7 linked regions of the Oryzias latipes genome follow. The protein of the gene in region 4 interacts with the protein of the main gene of each other region in a biochemical or structural test. Links are inferred from orthologs where the notes say so. Each region holds a gene or a part of one and is shown on either strand. Other genes may lie near its edges. The genes, in order: stip1, ppp5c, st13, heat shock protein HSP 90-alpha, sugt1, fkbp4 and tert.

What was found.
Region 1: the proteins of heat shock protein HSP 90-alpha (region 4) and stip1 form a complex in vitro, tested with the Homo sapiens proteins (9 studies listed by BioGRID). The link is inferred for Oryzias latipes from reciprocal best matches to the Homo sapiens genes HSP90AA1 and STIP1.
Region 2: the proteins of heat shock protein HSP 90-alpha (region 4) and ppp5c form a complex in vitro, tested with the Homo sapiens proteins (4 studies listed by BioGRID, with this or other methods). The link is inferred for Oryzias latipes from reciprocal best matches to the Homo sapiens genes HSP90AA1 and PPP5C.
Region 3: the proteins of heat shock protein HSP 90-alpha (region 4) and st13 form a complex in vitro, tested with the Homo sapiens proteins (2 studies listed by BioGRID). The link is inferred for Oryzias latipes from reciprocal best matches to the Homo sapiens genes HSP90AA1 and ST13.
Region 5: the proteins of heat shock protein HSP 90-alpha (region 4) and sugt1 form a complex in vitro, tested with the Homo sapiens proteins (4 studies listed by BioGRID, with this or other methods). The link is inferred for Oryzias latipes from reciprocal best matches to the Homo sapiens genes HSP90AA1 and SUGT1.
Region 6: the proteins of heat shock protein HSP 90-alpha (region 4) and fkbp4 form a complex in vitro, tested with the Homo sapiens proteins (4 studies listed by BioGRID and IntAct). The link is inferred for Oryzias latipes from reciprocal best matches to the Homo sapiens genes HSP90AA1 and FKBP4.
Region 7: the proteins of heat shock protein HSP 90-alpha (region 4) and tert form a complex in vitro, tested with the Homo sapiens proteins (2 studies listed by BioGRID). The link is inferred for Oryzias latipes from reciprocal best matches to the Homo sapiens genes HSP90AA1 and TERT.

What each region holds. Positions count from the first base shown.
Region 1 is NC_019872.2:19,986,875-19,990,963, reverse strand, and holds the start of stip1 (stress-induced-phosphoprotein 1), read left to right. Parts: upstream 1-1,289; 5' UTR 1,290-1,405; coding exon 1,406-1,414; intron 1,415-4,000; coding exon 4,001-4,089. UniProt on the Homo sapiens protein: Acts as a co-chaperone for HSP90AA1. Mediates the association of the molecular chaperones HSPA8/HSC70 and HSP90.
Region 2 is NC_019871.2:3,343,358-3,346,857, forward strand, and holds part of ppp5c (serine/threonine-protein phosphatase 5), read left to right. Parts: coding exon 1-17; intron 18-103; coding exon 104-209; intron 210-296; coding exon 297-439; intron 440-3,500. UniProt on the Homo sapiens protein: Serine/threonine-protein phosphatase that dephosphorylates a myriad of proteins involved in different signaling pathways including the kinases CSNK1E, ASK1/MAP3K5, PRKDC and RAF1, the nuclear receptors NR3C1, PPARG, ESR1 and ESR2, SMAD proteins and TAU/MAPT.
Region 3 is NC_019866.2:19,406,719-19,409,430, forward strand, and holds the end of st13 (hsc70-interacting protein), read left to right. Parts: coding exon 1-43; intron 44-111; coding exon 112-228; intron 229-304; coding exon 305-350; intron 351-1,304; coding exon 1,305-1,393; intron 1,394-1,600; coding exon 1,601-1,735; 3' UTR 1,736-2,212; downstream 2,213-2,712. UniProt on the Homo sapiens protein: One HIP oligomer binds the ATPase domains of at least two HSC70 molecules dependent on activation of the HSC70 ATPase by HSP40. Stabilizes the ADP state of HSC70 that has a high affinity for substrate protein.
Region 4 is NC_019882.2:17,298,760-17,300,872, forward strand, and holds the end of heat shock protein HSP 90-alpha, read left to right. Parts: coding exon 1-178; intron 179-256; coding exon 257-404; intron 405-486; coding exon 487-755; intron 756-834; coding exon 835-1,168; intron 1,169-1,256; coding exon 1,257-1,366; 3' UTR 1,367-1,613; downstream 1,614-2,113. UniProt on the Homo sapiens protein: Molecular chaperone that promotes the maturation, structural maintenance and proper regulation of specific target proteins involved for instance in cell cycle control and signal transduction.
Region 5 is NC_019875.2:17,072,446-17,075,924, forward strand, and holds the end of sugt1 (protein SGT1 homolog), read left to right. Parts: intron 1-19; coding exon 20-192; intron 193-2,445; coding exon 2,446-2,547; 3' UTR 2,548-2,979; downstream 2,980-3,479. UniProt on the Homo sapiens protein: May play a role in ubiquitination and subsequent proteasomal degradation of target proteins.
Region 6 is NC_019864.2:19,209,404-19,213,540, forward strand, and holds the start of fkbp4 (peptidyl-prolyl cis-trans isomerase FKBP4), read left to right. Parts: upstream 1-1,337; 5' UTR 1,338-1,699; coding exon 1,700-1,792; intron 1,793-2,231; coding exon 2,232-2,376; intron 2,377-2,942; coding exon 2,943-3,085; intron 3,086-3,352; coding exon 3,353-3,473; intron 3,474-4,018; coding exon 4,019-4,137. Other genes in the region: ATP-dependent DNA helicase DDX11, read right to left, coding at 92-178, 265-480, 560-688. UniProt on the Homo sapiens protein: Immunophilin protein with PPIase and co-chaperone activities. Component of steroid receptors heterocomplexes through interaction with heat-shock protein 90 (HSP90).
Region 7 is NC_019869.2:25,695,017-25,698,516, reverse strand, and holds part of tert (telomerase reverse transcriptase), read left to right. Parts: intron 1-766; coding exon 767-891; intron 892-1,375; coding exon 1,376-1,513; intron 1,514-2,854; coding exon 2,855-2,958; 3' UTR 2,959-2,966; exon of another isoform or gene 2,967-3,500. UniProt on the Homo sapiens protein: Telomerase is a ribonucleoprotein enzyme essential for the replication of chromosome termini in most eukaryotes. Active in progenitor and cancer cells. Inactive, or very low activity, in normal somatic cells.

The sequences.
Region 1 (4,089 bases), on a different chromosome or scaffold from region 4:
AGCTCGAGATAAATAAATTCTGACCGTTGTGGGTGGACAGAGCAATCCCCGTTTAACCAGAACGTGTTACAGTGCTAACCTCACGAGACCTCAACCCCTCACGCGGGAGCGCGCACGCGCTCATTACTGGCTCGTTTGTGTTATCGAGCTTTTACCAAATTCATTATCTGTCGATCTGAGTTGCTCGTTTGCATAAATGATATGGTTAGTATCGCTTGTATTACTGAATACACCAGTTAATAATACCCCAATAACACAGACTGAACCACCTCTTACACCACCTGCATGTTATCAGTTGAAGAAACTGTCCATCTATCTACAATACTTGTCAATACATCACTATTTATCCTACAATGTGTGAGAAGAAAAAAAAGATTTGGGTGATCAAGCCACATGTAACCTTTTCACACTCTATTCACATTACAATTTGCCTTTTTTGTGAAATACAATACCACGTGTTACATCCTCTATTTGGTACGTTTCTTTTGGTGGCAAAGAGTGTTAAATAAACCCCTTTTCTGTAATCAATTTATTATATTTTATTTGTTTGTTCATTGTTTTTTCTTCTTCACCTTGGATACTTGTGAATTTGTTACACTAAAATATTAATTTATTCAGTAAGGTTCTACTCCATTCTGTTCCATTATACTAAATTTATATCATGTTGTCCTTTGTTTGAGTTTTATTCTAATAAATGAATGCTAAAAAAACCTCTATTGGATTTTTATTTATGTTTCATTCATTTTTTTAATTTAATGTGACAATGTTTGACACATATTTTGTTCAAGAAAATATTTTTTACCTAAATGTTTTTTTCTAGTGATTCATTAGAAAATAACGTATTGATGTTACACAATATTTTACCAAAGTGACCAAAAAGCACTACAATGCATTTTTGTTTATACAAAGGAAATTTCCGTATTAATGTTAAAATATTAGCAAAGTAAAACTGATGAATATTTATTGTATTTAAACATGTATGTTTTAAATTTTAAAAATGTTAACCTTGTCAACACCCTTAAATATGTGATGACATTTAAAAGTATGAGTTTCTCTTCAATATTATAGTTACGTGGATGCTGGTGTTGCTCAAAATATAAACGCTTAATTTAACCTTTTTTCAGACTTCTGTTCTTACTCTTGTAAGTGAATGCGCTTGTATCTTCAATTTGAGCTTTTACATTAGGCATAGAGGAGAGTAAAACTTCAAGGGCTGGGTTTTGAGAGTTTTTTTCCCAATTCATCTTCTGGAAGTTTCAGTCAGGAGGCTATATATTGCTCGTCAGAGGCTCCACGCGAGTTCGTCGCTGTTTGCGGATCTTCTACAACAATCTGGCAACCCGCACGTGTTCAGGGGGAGGCGCTAGTCCGCAGTAGTTTCTGGAACGTACCTCATGCTTGTATCATGGAGAAAGTAAGTCTCGTGTAATCGCATTTTCTTCTTCTTTCAAAACAAACATTTAAAATGGGTTTTTAAAGAATTGTGCAATGTTGAGATGAAACGAGTTTTCTTAAAAATCGTAGTTAAAAAAATTGTCTTAGTTTTAATCCTTAGCTTGAAGAGATTCACTTTGCTAATGCATCGAGCTAGCTTAATGTTAGCTAACCGTCATTCAATGTGGTCACTTAGAATGGAAGGTGTAGCTGAGCTTTGAGTTTTCCGTAAAACATTTTCATTTTATGTTAAAGTCCAAATAGTCTTGCGATATTTCCAGGTAACAACGCATGTGTGTCCAGTTAAGCTAATTAGCCATGATACGAAAATTCTACTGAAACTCCACTAATTTGAACTAAACGTGTTTGATTTATAAAAAAAATGTATATACATATTGGTTCATTTCTTTTCTGTCTTTGCCCATGCTTATCCTTAACCCTCGTAGCTTCAGACTAGTTCGCAAATCTTTGACATTGCAAGTACGAAATAACGATTTAAATTACGTTCATAATGCAACTAGTTGTATATTTTTGTATGTATTAGAGATTGCTAGTTTATATGCTCTCGTTCTAGTGTGGCACACAGCGCTTAAGTACTTTTCGATCGGCTGTATATGTTTAAGTAGCCTGCTCTCACACCGGAGGATCATTCTAGATGCACAGGTCGCTGCTGCCATGGCTACAGCCGCATGTCGTCGGAAATTGTCGCGCATTTTTCCGGTTTTTAAATTGTAGTATTTTGGTCCCAATTTGAACGTCTCTCTAAAAAAAATTTAAAGTCTCGTTTTCTCCAAACCTGTCGCAAATATTTAGTGATAAATATTGCAATAATATTTACTGGCAACAGCGTTAGCAACTATATGTATATGTATGCTAATCATGTAAAAATTATATTTTCTTAATATCCAGCGTTTGTTGTTCATGGGATCAACTAATGTTAATCCCCTAATCTGTGGTGATCTGGCTGTAATTACATGTTGTGACTTAATTAGTCTGTAAAACTGAAAATGATTTAAATCCTAAAGGGTCTTTTAACAGTAAGCTTTGAATTCACACGTGTAATTAATACTTTACAAAAGGTAATTACATGTGATGTAATGGGTCTTAAGCTGTATTTAAACTTTTGTTATCAACCCACAAATATAGAAATATGAGTCCTCTCAATTTCATCTTATAAAGATTGCATTGATAAATTAATGATCATAAACTTTAAATGTGAAATTTGATCAAAGGAGACAAACAGGCACAAACATTGGTTGTTTATTCACAAAACTTGGGGACATACTCATTTTAGTTGACCTGCTCAGAAAATACTTCTTTCTCTTCTTGGATGACCCCCCATTGAAAAAGTCATATTTGACGTTTTCAACATCCACTACTTTCATTAAATAGACTAAAAAGAAGTTTTCAAATCTGTTCTAATTGTATTTTAAAGCTCTTATATTGAACTTGGTCTGAAGAATAGTGTAAAGTTGTGAAAATTTGTTTTTTTTTTCTTCTTCTTTTTTTTGACAAGAATGAATTTCATAGAGCCATCACACCTGCATGACAACTGACTGTACTCTTTACTTTAGAAAAGATGGAAATGGACCATTGCAAGTGATATGTTCTCTTCCTTTTCAGTGCGATGAATTACCAAAGTTTGAATTTACTCATCTCTATTTGTGCCGTTTATTAAATGTATTGTTTCTTTGGACAGACTTCTCACTTCAGTCTGAAGTAATGAAATTTAGTTTATGAACAGATCTTTGAGTCCATTTAGAAATTAAAGCAAAATCTGGCCATTTTTTCAAATGTTTAATTTATTATCAAAGGTGTTGGGAACAGCTTCGACTGCGAGCTGGTGTGAAGCTTTATGTGTTTTTTCAATTTTAACTCTGATAACAGAAACGAAAGAAAAGACACAAGTTACCCAATTGGGTTTTATTGGATTAAGTGCAGTGTGTGGAGGAATGCAAACTTCTTTTACATTACAAGCTTAATGTGTTGGACCAGGAATCATTATATCTCACAAAGTATCGATTTAATGTTGTTATTTTTTTTACATTTTCATTCAAACGTAGTATCTTCTGGTGACGAGAACAACCTTTTGTATAACTATCAAAGAAGTAGGTTGATAAAAAAGCAGTCAATTGGACTTGGTTTCACATTTAATATTTTTCCAAAAGCCTTTCCTTAATCTGAAATGCATTACTAAGAGAGCAGGTTAATCTGCTCCTTAAGGCAAGGCAACCCAATGCTTAGGAGACTGAATATACCCTCATCACAAACGTCAATGTTCATAGCTTTTTTACATTTTTAAGTGGGCAATTTTGTTTATTTGTGCCTCTTTTACTCTCATTTGCCCCTGTTATGGATGTTTAAACTGTTTCTGGAGTTTCTCTTTATGGTGTGGATAAATTTCGTCTGTACAGATGAAGGAGAAATTCTCCATTCATTGTGGTCTTATTGTTTGTTTTTTCATGATCAGTTCTTAGGCTGTTTTTCAGCTCCTCTATATGGCATTTTTTGTATGCAAACTTTGATCTGGTGCTAATAAGCATGTTGGGTTTTGATGTTTTTCTAGATTTCAGCATTGAAGGAGCAGGGCAACAAAGCCCTGAGTGCAGGGAATATCGATGAAGCTGTGCGTTGCTACACGGAGGCCTTGGCTCT
Region 2 (3,500 bases), on a different chromosome or scaffold from region 4:
CAGACGCCAACCCTTACGTATCCTTCCGTCACGGCGGCACGTCGTGCCCCAGAGTCGTCAAACGCAGAACTCGTGCGTCATTTTCCTTGACTGCGGCGTTCAGCTGTTCAACGGGGACTTTGTGGACCGCGGCTCCTTCTCCCTCGAGGTCATCCTCACTCTCTTTGGCTTCAAGCTGCTCTACCCCGACAACTTTCACCTACTGAGAGGTGCGTGACGCCTTTGAGCGCCTTCGCGCGCCTTCGCGCGCCTTCGCGCGCCTCCGCTGAACTAAATCAGACATGTACGGTGTTCAGGAAACCACGAGACGGACAACATGAACCAGATGTACGGGTTTGAAGGGGAGGTCAAAGCCAAGTACACGGCGCAGATGTTCCAGCTGTTCAGCGAGGTCTTCCAGTGGCTTCCTCTCGCTCAGTGCATCAACAGCAAAGTGCTGGTGAGTTCACACGGGGGGGGGGTGTTCCTGCAGCAGGACGGGTCCGCCATTTTTAAGGGGGGAAGAGATGAAGGAGAAAAAAAGACACGAATGAGGATCCGAGTGCAAATATTCTCCAGTGCAGTAAAAATATAACTCGAGCACAATATATTTATTGCTGTAAAACGCAGGATATTGTTGGATTTTAAGTTTGTAAACTAAAAAAAAAAAAGCTGAACGTCCAAATATTCTAAAAAAAGTGTCGGGGAAGCTTCCCATTTTCAAACTAAAGCTATTTTTTTGGTAGTGGGGGGGGGGTTCCTGTTTACTGACATAAATTCATAAAAAAACTGAATTTGCTTTAACCCTTTATGTAAATCACTGTGAATCAGCTGATTCTGATTTCTTACAGAAAAGCGTTTTTTATAGCCGCTTTGCGCCCATTAGCTCCGTAAAGTGCTGCATTTTAGAATAGAATAGAATAGAATGGCTTTATTGTCATTGTGCATAGTACAATGAGATTTAAGCATCACCATCAGTGCAAGAACAGTAAGGAAGGGAAAAGTAGTAAAGATAACATTGTAATATAATAAAATCAAACAAGCAAACAAACAGTATATACAAGTGTGCAATATAAGCTGTAAACTGTATTGGAGAGTGCCGAGATAATAGTGCAAAAATTGCGTATGAAAAAACTGTGCGTAGACATGTCAAAGTGCAGAGGTGGCAATGAGGTAGATAGATGACACTGTGGTCAGACTGTGGACAGAGTAAAAGGAATGTTTTTTTTTCTCGTTTTTTTTTTTCCTCTTATCTGTGCATTTGGGAATTGAGGATTGTTATTGCCTTTGGAAAGAAGCTGTTTTTTAGTCTGTTCGTTTTGCTTCTGATGCCTCTGTAGCGCCTCCCGGAGGGCATCAGGTTGAACAGGTCTGAGCCGGGGTGTGAACTGTCCTTAATGATGTTCTGAGCCCTGGTGAGACAGCGCGCGGAGTAGATGTCCGTCAGTGTGGGGAGAGGGCACCCAATGATTTTCTCAGCTGTCTCTACGACTCTCTGCAGTCTCTTTTTATCCGCGGCCGTGCAGCTGCCGAACCAAACAGTTGTGCAGTAAGTGAGCAGGCTCTGGATGGATGACTGGTAGAAGGTCAGCAGCAGGTTGGTTTTAATTTTGTTCTTCCTGAGGACCCTCAGGAAGTGCAGACGCTGCTGAGCCTTCTTGATGATGGCGGTGGTGTTGGCTGTCCAGGAAAGGTCTGCAGAGATGATGATGCCGAGGAACTTGAAGGTGTTTCCTGAAGTCGACTATGATCTCCCTGGTTTTGCTGGTGTTCAGGGTGAGGTTGTTCTCTGAGGACCAGGTTGTCAACTTCAGGACCTCCTCTCTGTAGGCAGACTCCTCCCCCCTGGGAATGAGTCCGACCACCGTGGTGTCGTCGGCAAACTTTATGATGCAGTTGTTGTTGTGGGCTGGACTGCAGTCGTAAGTGTAGAGGCAGTACAGCAGGGGGCTTAGCACACAGCCCTGTGGCGCCCCAATGTTCAGTGTGCGGGTGGAGGAGTGGTAGGGGCCAAGTCTCACAAGTCTCATTTTGATGCAAAGCCGCTTTCCTGCGCGGCAGAATCCGCTGATTCACGGTGATCAGTCCAGCATTTATGATACGTCGTGTGTTTAGACTTAAATATAATGAGAACGTGGATAGAAAACATAATAAATATGAATTTTACACGGTATTGTGATGTCATGTGACTGAAAACGTGGCAGAGAAGTCGCCTGGAGTTATAGGGAGTTTTCTTTTTTTCCTCTTAAGATCAAAACATTTGGTTGCAAAACATGTTTTCTGTTGGCAAAGTTCAAATAAATGGACTGTGAGGGTTTTCTAGTTGTTCCATCTTTACAGTACAGACCAAATGTTTGGACAAACCGTCTCATTCAAAGAGTTTTCTTTATTTTCATGACTATGAAAAAATTGTAGATTCACACTGAAGGCATCACAACTATGAATTAACACAAAAGTGTGAAACAACTGAAAATGTCATATTATAGGTTCTTCATAGTAGCCACCTTTTGCTTTGATTACTGCTTTGCAGACTCTTGGCATTCTCTGGATGATCTTCCAGAGTTAGTCACCTGAAATGGGTTCCAAGGTGTTTCCAGAGATGCTTAGCACTTGTTGGCCCATCACTGTCCATCTTGGTCAAATAGCCCTTACACAGCCTGGAGGTGTGTTTGGGCTCATTGTCCTGTTGAAAAATAAATGATGGTCCAACTAAACGCAAACCGGATGGAATAGCATGCCGCTGTAAGATGGAAAGCACAGATGTCCACTGGTCTCATGTCCATTCCTTGTGTTCTTTAGGCCAAACAAGTCTCTTCTGCTTGTTGGCTTTCTTTAGCAGTGGTTTCCTAGCAGATATTCTACCATGAAGGCCTGATTCACACCTTTTAACAGTTGTTGTAGAGATGTGTCTGCTGCTAGAACTCTGTGTGCCATTGACCTGCTCTCTAATCTGAGCTGCTGTTAACCTGCCATTTCTGAGGCCGGTGACTCGGATGAACTTAGTCGATGAACTTATCCTCAAGGTGACTCTTGGTCTTCCTTTCCTGCGGCGGTCCGTATATGAGCCAGTTTCTTTGTAGCGCTTGATGGTTTTTGTGACTACACTTGGGGACTCTTTCAAAGTTTTCCCAATTCTTTGGACTGACTGACCTTCATTTCTTAAAGTAATGATGGCCGCTCGTTTTTCTGTACTTTTTTCTTGCCGTTATACAAATTCTAACAGTCTATTCAGTTGGACTATCAGCTGTGTATCCACCTGACTTCTGCACAACACAACTGACGGTCCCAACCCCATTTATAAGGCAAGAAATCACACTTGTTAAACCAGACAGGGCACACAAAACCATTTCAGGTGACTACCTCTGGAAGAACCTACAATATGACATATTTTCAGTTGTTTCACACTTTTTTGTTATGTATTTAATTCCACATGTGTTCATTCACAGTTTTGATGCCTTCAGTGTGAATCTACATTTTTCATAGTCATGAAAGTAAAGAAAACTCTTTGAATGAGAAGGTGT
Region 3 (2,712 bases), on a different chromosome or scaffold from region 4:
TGACGAGGACGCCAGTGCAATGCTGAAGGAGGTCCAGCCGAAGGTATCAGCTCTATGAAAGCATTCAAAGACAGCAGAGAGAGACCGAAGTCTGAAAGATTATTTTGACAGGCGAACAAAATCATCGAGCACAGGCGCAAATATGAGCGCAAGAGGGAGGAGAGGGAGATCAAGGACCGGCAGGAGCGCATAAAGAAGGCCAGAGAGGAGCACGCCCGTGCTCAGAGGGTGAGCTCTTCTGGATTCCTCTTCGCTTTTGGAGGGAAAAGGTCCGCCCCTCACTGCCTTTTCTGTGTTTCTGCAGGAAGAGGAATCCCGACATTTTGGAGCCGGAGCAGGAGGTTTCCCAGGTCAGATTACCTGTCCGTCCTGCATGCTGTCATTTCTGATCTCACATTAACTAATAGGATAATCTCATTTAAAAGTGAAACATTGGATGACCTCATCATAAAACACTATATCTCCGCCATTGTGTAATGTTACCTCCGGTTTACAGATATAGACCAGGAAAACTGACCATTCTACTTAAATGATACAACTTACTTATCGTAATGGAAAATGTTATATTTATGTTAAATGTCCTACCTAACTGTTTCCGCTCTGTCATTCACAAATCAAAATACAAATTTAAGTAATCCTCAAATATTTCAGGTTCTATTGAAAATATCGACGTTTCATTTGAGCAGATATTATTCTAACGGTTTATATTTAGGCTGAATTTATTTGCACATATTTTAAGGCAAATTTTAGTTGTTGTATTAAGGGATATTTTAAGGGTAGTAACAGTAATTGGTTTTACTTTATTGTACGACGAGCTGAATTTGTCCTTCATTTCTCTGTTTTCAATGATTTTGTGAAGACTGAAATTCAAGCAACTTTAACTTTAGCAGCTCAAACCTCAAACCCATTGCACAAAGCGATCATTATTTGGATTTTATTTGGCTATGATTTCTGAATGATCAAACAAGGAAAACGAATACGGTTAGGTAGGACATTTATTAAATAAATATCGGGAAAATTACTATAACGATTGATTATTATTTAGGTAGAATGGTGTTAAACGGCGTTCAGTTGTTGGTTTTGCCAGTCTATATCTGTAAATTAGAAGTAATGTCATGCAGTGGCCGTGTTTTTCTGCACGCCTGATGCTCTCACTGTGATTCCTTTGAAAATCAAAAGCGATTCAACATCTTTGCCATTCTTACAAGCCTCTTCAATCCAGTGGATAGGCTCCTCCTCCATCCTACAATCCAGTCGATTGGACGTAACTGTGCTGGAGTATTTAAATCTCCTTGATGTTCCAGGTGCTGCCGGATTCCCAGGCGGAGGTCCAGCAGGTATGCCCGGTCTTGGTGACCTCCTGAAGGATCCTGAGGTGCTCAACGCCATGAAGGTAACTTAAGATGAACCAATTCTATCACATTCCCCCAAGGAAAAGCCTTAGTTCCATAAATGTGCAAAACACAGGAAACACAATTTAAACTTTGTATTAAAAATACACTGACGGAGAGTCTGAGAAAATTAAAACTGCAGCTGTTTTCTGCTCAGTTTTTGTGACTCCTGAAACACTCCAGTGAGGTTGACTTCTTTCTGACTCCAGGACCCTGAGGTGATGGCCGCCTTCCAGGATGTGGCTCAGAATCCGGCAAACATCTCCAAGTATCAGAACAACCCCAAAATCATGGCTCTCGCTTCCAAGCTGAGTTCCAAGTTCGGAGCCCCCCCCCAGCCATAGAAGTGGACTGGACCAAAACGGAGATGATGTTTGGAGGAGCGAGTGAAATTAAGCTTTTCAACATTTTCTCAGTGTGTTTAGTTCTATCAGGGGAGCAGGTCAAAGTGATGCAAATGTAACAGAAAGATGGAAAGTGTTTTTCACTGGTTTCTTTTTTTTTTTTAAATCTTCCTCAGTTTGTTAGCAACATCAACAAATCAAACAGATGGTTATGGGTCAGTCCTGGTATTTAGCTAAGCCCCTCCCTCCTCTCTGATGGGTCGCGGCTGTGATTTAACCTGCGACAGCAGCTCGGACAGTTCCTGCATGGAACCAACGCCTCTTTCTAGAGCCATTCTACACTCAGTAGGAAATTCCTGGTTGTGAGGCCGCACTCCAAAGCGTGGGTGCTGGTACATGCTGTTGTGAAAGGCTAACTGCAAATAACTTTAATATTCCTGTTGAAAAGTTCACAATAAAAATGTTGATGGAAAACAGCTTTAATCCTCTTTTCTACTTGCACTGATAAATGTACTTTAACTGTCAAATTCCCTAGCTTTTAACGGTTGTCTTCTATTAAAGTGAAAACTTTTCATGATGCCTAATCCATGCCAGCTTCTGCAGAGCAGCAGCAGTTCATTAGAAATTTACCTCCGAGTTGTGGGCGGGAGTGTTGGCATGGAGCAAACCCGCCCCATCCCCTCCCCGTTGTAAAGCGGGGCGCTTGTTGCCCACCACATGAATCTCATCACAAAGCTCTTTTTTTCATCTGAATATAGAATTACCGCTCATTGACTATCGCAGTTTACGTTTCAGTCTGTGTGGATATTTTTCATTGGAATCTTTTTTTTTTTTTTAATCGCAGGTTATTTTTGGAACGTAAATTTGAGCTTAGTTTTCTTTTATGCCCTTCATCAGAAAAAGGCACTAGAGCACGTTGAAAACACCAGAAAACAAGATTTTCATCAGAGTGGGTCTTTAGGAAGTATTCTGTCATG
Region 4 (2,113 bases):
TGTGGTGGACTCTGAAGATCTGCCCCTGAACATCTCCAGAGAGATGCTGCAGCAGAGCAAAATCCTGAAGGTCATCCGTAAGAACCTGGTTAAGAAATGTCTGGAGCTCTTCACAGAGCTGTCTGAGGACAAGGACAACTACAAGAAGTTATATGAACAGTTCTCCAAGAACATCAAGGTAGCTTTGTGACGCCACAAACCTTTCTGAAAGGTGTATTCCAGTTCATTTCCACTAACATACTATGTCCCCCTTTAGCTTGGAATTCACGAAGACTCTCAGAACAGGAAGAAGCTGTCTGAGCTGCTAAGATACTACACCTCAGCCTCTGGAGATGAGATGGTTTCCCTCAAAGACTATGTCACCCGCATGAAGGACAACCAGAAACACATCTACTATATCACTGGTGAGGCCTTGCTCCACCTGCATCTGAGCTGATTCTTCACCTGAGTGTTAGCAGATGATTGACGTCATGTTTTGCGGTTCAGGCGAGACCAAGGACCAGGTGGCCAACTCTGCTTTTGTGGAACGCCTTCGCAAAGCCGGTCTTGAGGTCATCTACATGATCGAGCCCATCGACGAGTACTGTGTCCAGCAGCTGAAGGACTTTGATGGCAAGAACCTGGTTTCAGTCACCAAGGAAGGTCTGGAGCTGCCTGAGGATGAGGAGGAGAAGAAGAAGCAAGAAGAAAAGAAAGCTCAGTTTGAGAACCTTTGCAAGATCATGAAGGACATCCTGGAAAAGAAGGTTGAGAAGGTAAGCAGAAGAACGCTTCTTTGGATGGCGGGGGGGTCTCCTGGTAGGATGCAGTCCTAATGCTTTAGTCCTTCCACAGGTCACAGTGTCCAACCGCCTGGTCTCCTCCCCATGCTGCATCGTCACCAGCACCTACGGCTGGACGGCTAACATGGAGAGGATCATGAAGGCCCAGGCGCTGCGCGACAACTCGACTATGGGATACATGGCTGCTAAGAAGCACCTGGAGATCAACCCCGACCATCCCATCATGGAGACTCTAAGGCAGAAGGCTGAGGCCGACAAGAATGACAAATCGGTGAAGGATCTGGTTATCCTGCTGTTTGAGACCGCCCTGCTGTCTTCAGGATTCACCCTGGAGGACCCTCAAACACATGCTAACCGCATCTACAGGATGATCAAACTGGGTCTTGGTAAGGAGTCCATCAAAAAGTTCAATATTTGAGTTTGTGTTTTATATCCTGATAGATTTTTAACTAATATTTTTCATTTTTACTGCAGGCATTGATGAGGACGACACACCGGTAGAAGAAACCACTTCTGCTCCCACTGAGGACATGCCGCCTCTGGAAGGCGACGACGACGCGTCCAGAATGGAGGAGGTGGACTGATCGGTCGGCTGCAGTGTTGAGATAGTTCCATGTACAGTTCAAATGTTAAAACGAGTTGTCATCATTTCTTTCCTTATTCCTCACGTGTTTGCATTTGCTCATTCAGAGCTGTTCTGAAACTCTTTATTCTTCAGATGTAACAATGTAATTGTTTTTGTATTTATTGACATTCTAATGTTGCTCTAATTTGTAAATATTACTGGAGGTTGGAATACCAGAGCACAGAAATAAAACTCTAAAGCAAAAACGTTTTGTTCTGGGGTTCTTTTCAAATACAAGAGATTTTTGGAAGGGAGACGTATTGATGCTTTTATTGTGAAGGGGAAATTGGGAAAGGAAGTAATTGGAAGGTTGAATGAATGCTGCCAATAATTAGATAAAGATCTAACAAAAATAAGAAACTTGAAGTGACTGGTTATCAGTTTTCTAAGTTATGAGACTTCAAACAAACCTATTTTTATTGGATCTTTAATTGTAATTACAATTGCATGACATGCAAACACTGGAAGTGTTAAGAGAAACACTTGAAATGCTGCAAAAGTCCAAAGTCCTCACAACATAAATAGTACAATATTGCCATCTAATTATCACTAATTTTGTTTGTCCTAACCTTTTGATATAAGGGTAACAGCAAATCTATAAACAGAGCTATCAGGTTTTTTTTAAGAAAACAAGGACCGAATCATGTTTTAGGCGTTTCCTGCTGGTCTTCCAGAAATCCTGCCTGATCTTCACCTGGAACAGGTG
Region 5 (3,479 bases), on a different chromosome or scaffold from region 4:
TGTGCTTGTCTTCCGTCAGACCCGTACCCCACATCCTTACACTACACCCGCAAGTGGGACAAGATGGTGTCGGACATCAGCGAGGAGGAGAAAAACGAGAAGCTGGAGGGAGACGCGGCACTCAACAAGCTCTTCCAGCAGATTTACACGGACGGCTCGGACGAGGTCAAACGAGCCATGAACAAATCATTTGTGAGTACTTTTCCTCCAAGTGGCATTTGACTTTTAACGTTTGCAGACTCCTCTGCTGCTGGAGAGCAGTCAAATTAAGCTGAATAGGATGTTCTTCATCTTCTGTCCAGCAGAAGTTAATCCTTTTACAAAATAAAAGCCTTCAGGAAAGAACTGCACCTCTCAGTTATCCTCCCATACCCATTTCTCCCACCTTAGATAGGGGAGGCGGTGTGTCAACCGTGTTTTTATAAAATATCAGACCTTTTGGGTATTAACAAAAAAAAGATAGTGTCTCACTCTTTCTGAACATGTCTTCCCTGAAACCCTCTTGTCCGCTTTGCAGTGATTTTTTTTTTTTAACAGAGCAGACAGGAAGGGAGTGAGGAGAAAGCGAAGAGTCTAAGTTTGTATGCATTCTCATACAAAAACAGGAGATCATAGAAACACAGACAGCTTGAGATCTGCTCTGTCAGCCGAAGGATCAGATTTCGCCAAGAAAACAAACAAAACTCCATTATCTGCAAGTGAGCACGTAACAACACTGCAGTTTTATTTCACTGGTAAAATTTCCTCTTTGCAACACAGAAACTCTCTCCTCCTTTAAGCTGAAGATGTAAAACTGGTCAAAGCTGACAGTTTTAACAAGTGTGTTTTAAAAAAAACATTGTTTTTCACACTTGCATCAGCGATTCTAACTCTATATTTGATTCAGCAAGTGCCATCTAGGTTAAAGAAGAAAGAGTTTGTCTTTTCATGGAGAGCTGACCTTTTGATAGAGGCAGCTTTGGTCTTTTCACCTCACAATAGTGTAAGTATTGTTGAAGTGATCTCTCGTTTCCCCGTCGTTAGCTTTGCGCTCACGAAGGAAGCTAATTTTTGGCCTCAATTCGGGACCCATTCGACGTCCTCCAACTATTGCATAAATCTGAGCGAAAAGCGGAGCATTCCTCAAACCGGCACAGACGGACGCTGAACTGACGGCGACCCACAGCCGCTCCCAAACAGCCATCTGCACTTATCGCAACACGCATATTGATTTGCCACAGTCATGTCATCTGAATCCATGCAGAAGAGATGGGGACTGCGGAGTCTTAAAAAAAAGACAAAAAAAATGAATCCACACTCAAACTGACGGCTCGTGTTGGAGGTGGATCTGGGCTGCTTTCTGCAGAAATGATCATTTATATGAACAGTGATCCACTTTGGTTTTCATTTGTAGCATTCTGAGGAAGTGAAGAGCTGCAGGATTTGTGTATTTGTGTTGACTTGAAGATCACTAGATTTTTAATGGAATGGAATATTATATATTTTTTTTTTATTTAACCTTTATTTAACCAGGAAAGTCCCATTGAGATTAAAAAACACTTTTCCAAGGGAGTCCTGGCCAAGAGGCAGCACATTTCAATACAATTTCACATTTTGAAACAAACCAGCACCTTTCTTTTTGCTTATTTTGCCTGCAAATATCCCAGATTTTCTTTTAATCCTTTTGAAATCCCTTCAAGATAAAGCTCTGCCGTTTTTTTAAGGAACCATTCAGTGCTTGGTCTATGCAGAATATAATAGTTGGCAAAAAACAATTTTATAGACCCACTTGATTATAATTTAATCTGTTTTGAACGTGATCCCAGTGGAATTTTAATTATGATTATGCCGTTTTTAGCCAAAATAATAAAAAAAAAAACTGTAGTTTTGTAGGACATAGTTTCCACAGAGCTGCAGTAGTTCATTAGAAATTTGCCTCAGAGTTGTGGGGGGAGGGGGGACGATGACGCAGAGCAACCCCACCCCCCATTCCCCTTCTCGTTGCTGAGAGCTTGGCGCAATGGGAACCCAATGTCACAAATAAGGTCTTTTTGCAACAGCATGTTTTTGTCTGCTCCTGTTTCACAAGTATTTGTATAAAGAAATAATCAGAAATGTAATATTAAGCTTACATTTTCTTTATATATCTTTATATAAATTTTCTTTATATTCTTTATATAATCCTCAGAAGGATCCCGCTAGAACATGTCAAAAACGCCAATAACATCATTTTAATCGGAAAGTTCTTTAAGCCCTTTTAAGAGGCTGAAGTGCGAAGAGAGGACAGAAAAAACCAAGTCAAAGGAGAAACTATAAAGTCCTTCAGAAAGCCTGTAGACCGGCTGCTCAAGACACTTTAAAAGATTAGACAAAATCAGTTCAGAAAACCTTCAAGGACAAGAAAGGTCAGCTCACACGGAAAGTTATGCATCAAGGTTTAATGAAATCTCATGCGCGTGTGTGCAGATGGAGTCTGCTGGCACCGTTCTGAGCACCAACTGGAAAGATGTGGGCAAGAGGAAGGTGGAGGCGAGTCCACCCGACGATGTGGAGCACAGGAAGTACTGAGCGCGTGCAGCTCTCTCTGCTTTCCTCCTCCTGTTTAAAGTCATCAAGTTGGTTCGTCTGAGCTCCGGCGGGAATCCCGACGCTCTGCTGCGAGCGTGACAGCCCACCTCTCCTCCTCATGTCAGTGCTTTTTTTCTTTTTTTTCTTCACTAAGTGCAGGGAGCCAGCGTTCCCACTCTCCCTTTCCCAAACCACAGATGGCTTATTCTCTGAAAAAGCTGATCACTAACTGGGTTCGATTGATTTTGAATAAAGGCCGACATACATGAAGGGAAGCAGGTGTAACTGATAGGCCTGAAACATCACTTTTAGAATCGCTATGTTTCTGTTTTCTCCAAAAGACCTTCCTGTTTGGCAGCCTTTATCACCTAATATCAGTTCTTGTGTACAAATGTAAAGTTGCTAATAATAATAAAAAGGATTTTAAAAATACAACTGACTTTAGAGTTTTTCTTCTTTCTGATCAGTCGACATTAATACTCGTCAGGTGTTCTCTCAGTGTGACTTTAGGTTTGTTAAAAAGAAAGATTTGTCGTTTGACTTCATAACGTTCATCTTGTGTTTTATAGTCATTTCCGGGGATTTTTGTTAACGGGTGGGATCGCCTCGAGGAAACCCACGGCTACTGAAATGACTGTATGACCATTGACTGTATCGGACTCTGTTTTACTATCTAGTGCTCCGGATTTCAAAAGTAATTTAGACACCATGCTCGCTCCTTTTTCTTTTTTTAGAGGCAAATATGATGACGTCATCGATTCCTCAAAGTAAAAACCTAATAAATATTAACATTTTATAAAGACTGTTTATGAAGAAATATGTTCTCATGATGAAAACTTGTAAAAAAAAAAAACATTTTTTTTCCACAAAAATTGTTCAAACGCAATGCATTGTGGTCTACGTTTGCCAATTTAGTGATTCACACTGGTTTT
Region 6 (4,137 bases), on a different chromosome or scaffold from region 4:
AGATGAGGAAAATAAGAGAAATCTTGATTGGAGTGGGTCTTTAAAGAATGAAACAGCCTGTGACCAAAGTGCTTCTGTAAATATAGCTTACCTTCCTTTTAAGAGCATACTTAAGCTGAGCATTATTTCTGATCATTTCTAACCGTTCTTCTCTCTTCTTCCTCTTTAAGTCTTCCTCCTATTATAAAAGCAAGAGTTACAGTCAGCAGGTTTGTAGATTTTAATCGGAAATCTACATTTAAAAAGTGCATTTCTCTTGTTCACCTTCAGTTTGGACACCAGGTCTCGCTCAGCCTTCTTTTGAACAAAGTCAGTGATCCAGTCTGGCTCTGCCGAGGAGCTGGTGGAGGAGGACTGTGCAGCTGAGGTGGAGAGAGCTGCTTCTCCTTCCTGCAGCAGAGCAGCGGCCTCCTGTATCGTCTTCTCTTCATGATCTCTCAACCAGCTCAAAGCTCCACATATCAGGCTCAGTGACTTGCCCTAGATCAACAGCATTTCCATGAATCTAAACTGAAGTTTTTAGGTAAATTGAGCTCGTTGAGATTGTTGTTTCACATACCGTTCCAGTTGGACTTTCGAAGATGCCAACTTTGCTTTGGTCGAGTGCTCTGTAGAGGGCTTGCATAAACTGCTCCTGAATATCATAAGGCTGGTAGGGGAATGGAAATGTGTCCCTGCCCTTTTCCATGCTCCTAATGTTCTCTGAGGATCATAACAATGGTCAGATACGATCAATGACAACATTCAATACAGGCAACTCGAAATATAAAACTGAAAATGTTGTAGTAAATCTTTCTAAACTGAGTAGTTTTATATTGATTACCGGTACTAAAACTAAAAGCTTATGTGGATCATGTACAAGCAGCTAACTTCAACAAACCTGGAAGCTACAGCGACAACAAATAAACTTCACACACAGTTAATATAACGACATTAATGTTTTAAATTTTACTTAAAAAAGTTAAAATATAAAACTAGTACTTAAATGGAGTGTACTTACCGTATAATGCTACCTATCTGCTCTCAAAGCTACACTTTCAACTACGCGCCAATAAACAGAAGTGGTCACAGACTCTGGCCAATAGGAGGCGAGCTGAAAAGGGGAGGCTATATTTAACTCGTTGGACTACATTTGTGGTCGGAGCTACTCTAGTAATTTCCAAACATTGTCCTGTCTCAACACTTTATTTCGCAAATTACAAAATGCTTTTGAATTGCGATAACTTTATTTATGTCAGAGTGCAACAACATGGATTTTCCTATGCCCCAATTTTAGCACCGCCTTTGTGGAATGTACCCGTGTGAAATAGAACAACCCCAGCGAGCGTCCCTCCCCCTTCTCTCATACTGTCTGGAAAGTTCTCTGCCCTTCTAAAACGCTTGTCAGAACCCGTACTGCCAGACAACGTTAACGGAAAGCATCCCCGCTCAAGTCCAGTCAGCTAGTTTGATACGTTTGATTAGTGGTAGCAGGTTTGGTTGCTTTCAGTTTCACACGGAAACGTGTATAGTTTAATATTAGCTAGAAAGCTAAGAGTTTGAGCGACGCATGTTAGCTTGACATTAATTTGTTGATAGTCGGCTCCTTGTTTGTGCACTTGGCGTGGTTTGAAGTAACCGTAGCTGTAGCCACCGTTGCTACTAACTAGTGTCAGTCAGTGGTCTCAGGTTTTGCTGCAAGTCCGACATTTGTCTAAAAATGACCGCAGAGGAGCAGTCAAACGAAGGACAGCACGCGATCCCGCTGGAAGGGGAAGACATCACACCAAAGAAAGATGGGGGTGTTCTAAAGGTAAACGGGTTTGTAATAAAGATCTTAACTGAAGCATATTGCTAGGTTAGCAGGCGCTTTTGGCTAAGCTAACGTTAGCCTATTTATTAACGTTTGAGTTCAAACATATTTTCTGCAATCAGTTAGTGAATGTTCATGGTCAGTGAGAGCACAGTAAACATTTATCTTAAGTTTATTCGCAGAAGTTTTTGTTTGATGGTTTTTCTGGGAATTTATTGTTAGGTTATCAATTATATCGATCATGCAACCTAATCCAGTTCTAGAAAGGTCTGGAGCCATGAGCTGTTTTATAGAATTAAATGGTAGATTATATGCACAACCAGAACACTAAGCCCACCAGATTTAATTGTTAAGATTTGCGAGCCCACTGTATTTCAATAAATGAGGATTAAAACAAATTTACAGCTGCATTCATGGAGATTTGCTTTTGTTTTCGCAGGTTATTAAGAGGGAAGGTACAGGGACTGAACTCCCCATGACTGGTGACAAAGTGTTTGTCCATTATGTGGGGACGCTCTTGGATGGGACACACTTTGACTCGAGCAGAGACAGAGGAGAAAAGTTTTCCTTTGAGTTGGGCAAAGGTTGGTTTCTAATCTTCTACCTGGCTGCAAAAAAATAAATAAAAATAAGTTTCAGTATCATGTGTTGTTGGGCAAACTCTATTCTATGATTATTTTACTGTATTTGCTTGCTCAGAAAGCCTCTTTTTAGCGCATACATAATATTTACATACCATCATGGGGGTTGACAATGTTGTTTTTGCTGCAAAAAATGTATTCCTTAATTTAATCATTTTTGATTGGGAATGTGTGACATTTTGCTGAAATCAGATTTACTTTAGTAATCCAGAATCCAAACTAATGAACATAATATACACTTAACTTGTTGGATGTATCTGTCGCCCCACTCATTAGGTACTGGTGACTCCTTAACTGTTAATCTAGAATAGGAGGACTTTAACCATTGTTATTTCTGGAGATAAAAGCTGGACAATTCATCAACTAAGGTTAAATGATTTGTTGCTAACAACTGTACATCACATCACGTCACATCAGTGCATTTTTGAATTTGTTTTGGACCAGGTAGTGAATACTTGCCTATTGCTATTGTGCAAATAGTTCAGACTGTATCATCTAACTTTATTCAGGTCAAGTAATAAAAGCATGGGACATTGGTGTGGCCACAATGAAAGTAGGAGAGTTGTGCCAACTTGTCTGCAAGCCAGAGTATGCTTATGGATCTGCAGGCAGCCCACCCAAGATACCCCCAAATTCCACTCTTGTTTTTGAGGTAAGTTTTTGTATGCATAGAGTTCTGGTATTGCATTAGAGACAAGCCACATAAATGTACACGTCTGCTGGAAACATTCAAAAATATTGGGGCGTTTAAATCTACTGTAATGACTAAAATAAATTAAAAGCCAGTAAATACTTTTTCAAATTCTGTCAGGTATTCAGTGGTAATAATCTCCAAAATGATCTTGCATAGTGTTAGAAAAACAGAGAACTCAAGGGTATGTATTAATCATTGAGATTATTTTTTTCTACTCTCTTTTAGGTTGAACTGTTTGATTTTCGAGGAGAAGATATAACAGAGGATGAAGATGGAGGAATCATTCGACGTATTATCACTAAGGGGGAGGGATATTCAAAGCCAAATGAAGGGGCTACTGTTGAAGGTACATCCATCTGAATTGTTTTTTTCCTCTTTTCTGATTAATATAACATTGTACACCTAAATTGAACTTGATCTTGATCTGTATTTATTGAAAGTTTGATTAAATACTGGAAACTGTATTAGGACTAGTACCATAGTGAGTTAATCTTATACAAATTTTAACTGGCTAAAAGCAAACAGTTGCATTTAAAACAATATTTTTTCTGTGAAATTCCAATAAATACAATGATATCCAATTAGAATAGTTTTTGAGGTCACGTTTTACTTAAATCCCATATTTGCTGCATTACTCAGTTGTCTCACAAAGTTTTTACTATATAGTGAACTCCTTTCTTATGTTAAATATTGAACGTAGTTATCTTCAATTAATTTGTATTTTTAATTATTTCTGTGTTCAATCTAGTCCCATTCAGAAAACATTAACAGCAATGTCACAGAAAAATGAGATGTGTTTACCCATCATTCCCAAAGCTTTACACAAGTCGGTCACACAGTAAACCTATGAGAGTGACCCCACCTGACCTGCACACTTCTATCCCCTCTCAGTCACTGTGCAGGGTACTCATGATGAACGCATTTTTGACGAGAGAGAACTGAAATTTGAGATTGGAGATGGAGAAAGTTTTAACTTGCCAGCTGGGTTGGAGAAGGCTATCATGGCCATG
Region 7 (3,500 bases), on a different chromosome or scaffold from region 4:
CCTGATCATTTGGATGGATGAGCCAATACTTTTGGTAAAATAGTGTATATAGAGTAGATTAAGCTCAAAATTGCACTTGTCAGTATTTCTTTATTCAAATCATTGTGAATAAGGAGCAGATGAAAAATGCCTTTGAAACAGCTTCTAGTTGTAACAAAATAAGTTCTAGTAATCTACAATCGGTGGTCCAAAGTCTTCCTTCTCCATTCTGATCGTCCACCATCAGACAAACGGATCCATGAACGTCTTTGTTTTCCTGGTCTGAGCTGGTATCTGGATCAGAATTGAATGGCTGGATAGCTACGATGTTGATCACCATTTTTGTTTCACAGTAATGTTAGGTTGGAATTTTGATGTGCTGGAAGGTAGCAGTGTGAAAACAGAGAGCTCTCAGCAGCAGGGAGGGGAGGGGAGGGGAAGGGAGGGTGTGGTTGCTTTATGCCAACGGTCCCGTCCACAAATCAGAGGTGAATTTCTACTGAATTCCTGCTGCTCTGCAGAAACTATGTCCTAGAAAACAACAGAAATGTTTGATTTTGGCTAAAAGTGGCGTCATCCTAACTAAAAGACCACTGGGAACGCTCTGAAAATAGATGGGATCGGACTTTAAAACTGTTTATGTCTCTCTTTTGCTCATTTAAAGACTTTTTCAAAGTCCAATCCTTTGTTCAAATAAAGTCTTTTGGTGTTTAGCGTCTCAGAACATGCAGGTGTTTCAGCCTTTGGTCTGCAGACCTGCAGCCTCCTCTGTGTCCGCTCTGTCCAGGTTCCATGTCTGTGTTCAGAGTTTACCCTTCGCCCAGACGGTCGCAAAGAACCCAACGTACTTCCAGCAGATGATCTGGGACATGGCGCACTATGCCAACGCTCTCATCAGGCGCAGCAACACAGGTACTTTACTTTATTCTCTTTTCCAGCTCAAAGAAACGGTCTGTTAGTCATTTTAATGGTTGGTTTGTTAGAATAATAAAACAAGAAACAGCAAATCTAGAAAAACCCATGCAGAGCGGAGGAAGATGAGTGAATCCAGGTGAGTTTCTCATCTCAGGCTCACTTGAACTCAAGCAGTCAGTCAGATTCCAGACTCTCCACCATGACTATGATCACAGGGAGGTTCAGAAAAGCCTGGAACAAACCACCAAACCTTTGGTTTGAAGAACCAAGAAGAAGCCGTTAAGATCCTTAGATCTCCTGGTGCTTCGACAATAAGTGTGACTGCAAACCAGAACGTCAGTGTTGCATCACAGCTTCACCTATTAAGATGTGGATCAGTTTAGTGTTTTTGTCTTTTATGGCTCAGAGAAACCCCGAACAGAAGGTTGGAGCCCTGTCTCCTCTGCCAGGTTGTGTGCTCAGCTTCCCCTCTCTCCTCCAGGGTTGGTTTTGGGGGATGGAGCTCAGAAGGGCAGCGTTCAGTACGAGGCCGTGGAGCTGCTCTTCTGTCTGGCCTTCCTGCGGGTTCTGTCTAAACACCGACCCGTCTACAAAGACCTGCTGCCACGCCTGCACAAATGTGGGTGTTCCACCAAGCACTAAGTATAAAAATGAAAGTCACTCAACACCTGAACGAAATATTCTAAGACTTTTAACACTTCAAATCATCAGCTGAATATGCAGAAGACAAAACTTGGCAGCGTTTTGAGAATTTTAGCAGATCATTTTGACCTTTCAAAGGTTTGATCAGCCAAAGGCTTTCACTGCTCTTGAACCGTTTTTCTGATGATGGAGGACATATGTTAAGAAGATGAAGGTCAAAAATGTAGTTCTGAGTATTTCTTTATTCAGATTGCATTAAACCAGGAGCAGATAAAAAATGTCGTTTAAAAAAGACCATATTTGTGAAGAAGAAAATACGCTGGGCAGCCTCAAGCTTCCTGCTCTGCTCCATTCTGATCATCCTCTGTCAGACCAACAGATCCATGTTTGTCTTTGTTTTCCTGGTCTGAGCTGATCTGGATCTAAACTGTACGACTGGATAGATCTGATACTGCTTAACACGTTTGGTGCCCTGCTAATGTTAGGTTGGGGGTGAGAGAGGCTGTAAGCCAGCAGGTGAGCGTGTAAACAAAGAGCTCTCAGCAATGGGAGAGGAAGGGGGTGGGCTTGCTCTGTGCACAACTCAGAGGTGGGTGAATTTCTAAAGAACTGCTGCTGCTCTGCAGAAACTATGTCCTAGAAAATGACTCGGCTTTTAAAAAATTTTGTCCAAAAATGACAATCACGATTTAAAGACCACTGGGAACGCTTTAACAATAGATGAAGAGACGATTAGAGGGGATCTTTGAGTTCTTTATTCAATCCCGTGTTTGAATTCAGGAGGATTCTTTTAGAACATTTCTTTTCTCTGAATGTGGGTTTAGAAGCTTTGGCACTATTGATGAATATCATGACAAAGCTGCTCGCTGAGAATGGATCAGGACTCTGTTTACTGAACTTGTTTCTTCATAAAACATCTGTCCTCAGGAGACAGAGAGGTTTGCTGAGCTGATGGAGAATCTGAAATCTCCTGGATGAGGCTGGGTTTTGCCTGAAGGTGGCATCAGCTGAGAGGCGTACAGGAATATCCGTGATGCAGTCGAGCATGAACTCTGGCGTTGGGTTTTTATGGTCAGAACTGCAGCACGGCTGTTACAGAAAGACCAAACATGAAAACACAGGAACTTTCCTGGAATACATCTTCTCTTAAAGGTGGATGCTGTGATGGCTGTATCCACGCTGGCCAATCTGAATGTTTTCAGGTGTATTTAGCAGTTTTATAACCAGCTGTTATGGGATTTTACAGCTCAGATGGGTGGATTTTACAGTTCGGAGATGAACTGTAATATCTCAATATCTGCTTTCACCCTCTGGACAGGGAAGCGCCGGTTGGAGAGGCTTCTGGGAGACCTGAGGCTGGCTAGGGTCCGGCAGGCCGCCAACCCCCGGGCTCTGCTGGACTTCCTGGCTATGCAGATGTGAGTCCACAGGTAAAAGCAGCCACAGGAACGGAAATGTGTGGGCAGTTTGACAGCATGGCTTTCACATGAGGATTTATTTTGTTAAAGTGATTAAAAGAAAAGAAAATGGAAGCAAAACGTTGTAATTTTTCTCTCAGATTGACATGATGAACATTCAAGGCTTTTGTTTAAACGAGCAAATGGAATCTTACGTGTTCTGTAAAGCACAGTAAATATGTTTTGGTCATCTCTTAAAAACCACTTAAGCGATAAAACCCGGTGATAAACCGGTGTCGTAAAACAAGCTCAAGTTGATGAATGAAAAACTTGAGAAGAATCCAGCTTCTGACATGGAGCCTGGCTCATTCCTCAGACGCCTGTATCTCTGGACTTTGATTCACTCGCTGCGGTAGTTTTCCACAAAGAAGATATGGTTAGGCTTTAAAAATAACTTGTCTGTAAATATGTGCACGGAAACGTCATCAGCCTCCAGGGATTTCTTTTACTGTCACAAGTACACAAACAAAGTGCAGCCAAGTGAAATAAAAAACCCTGATGTTTGAG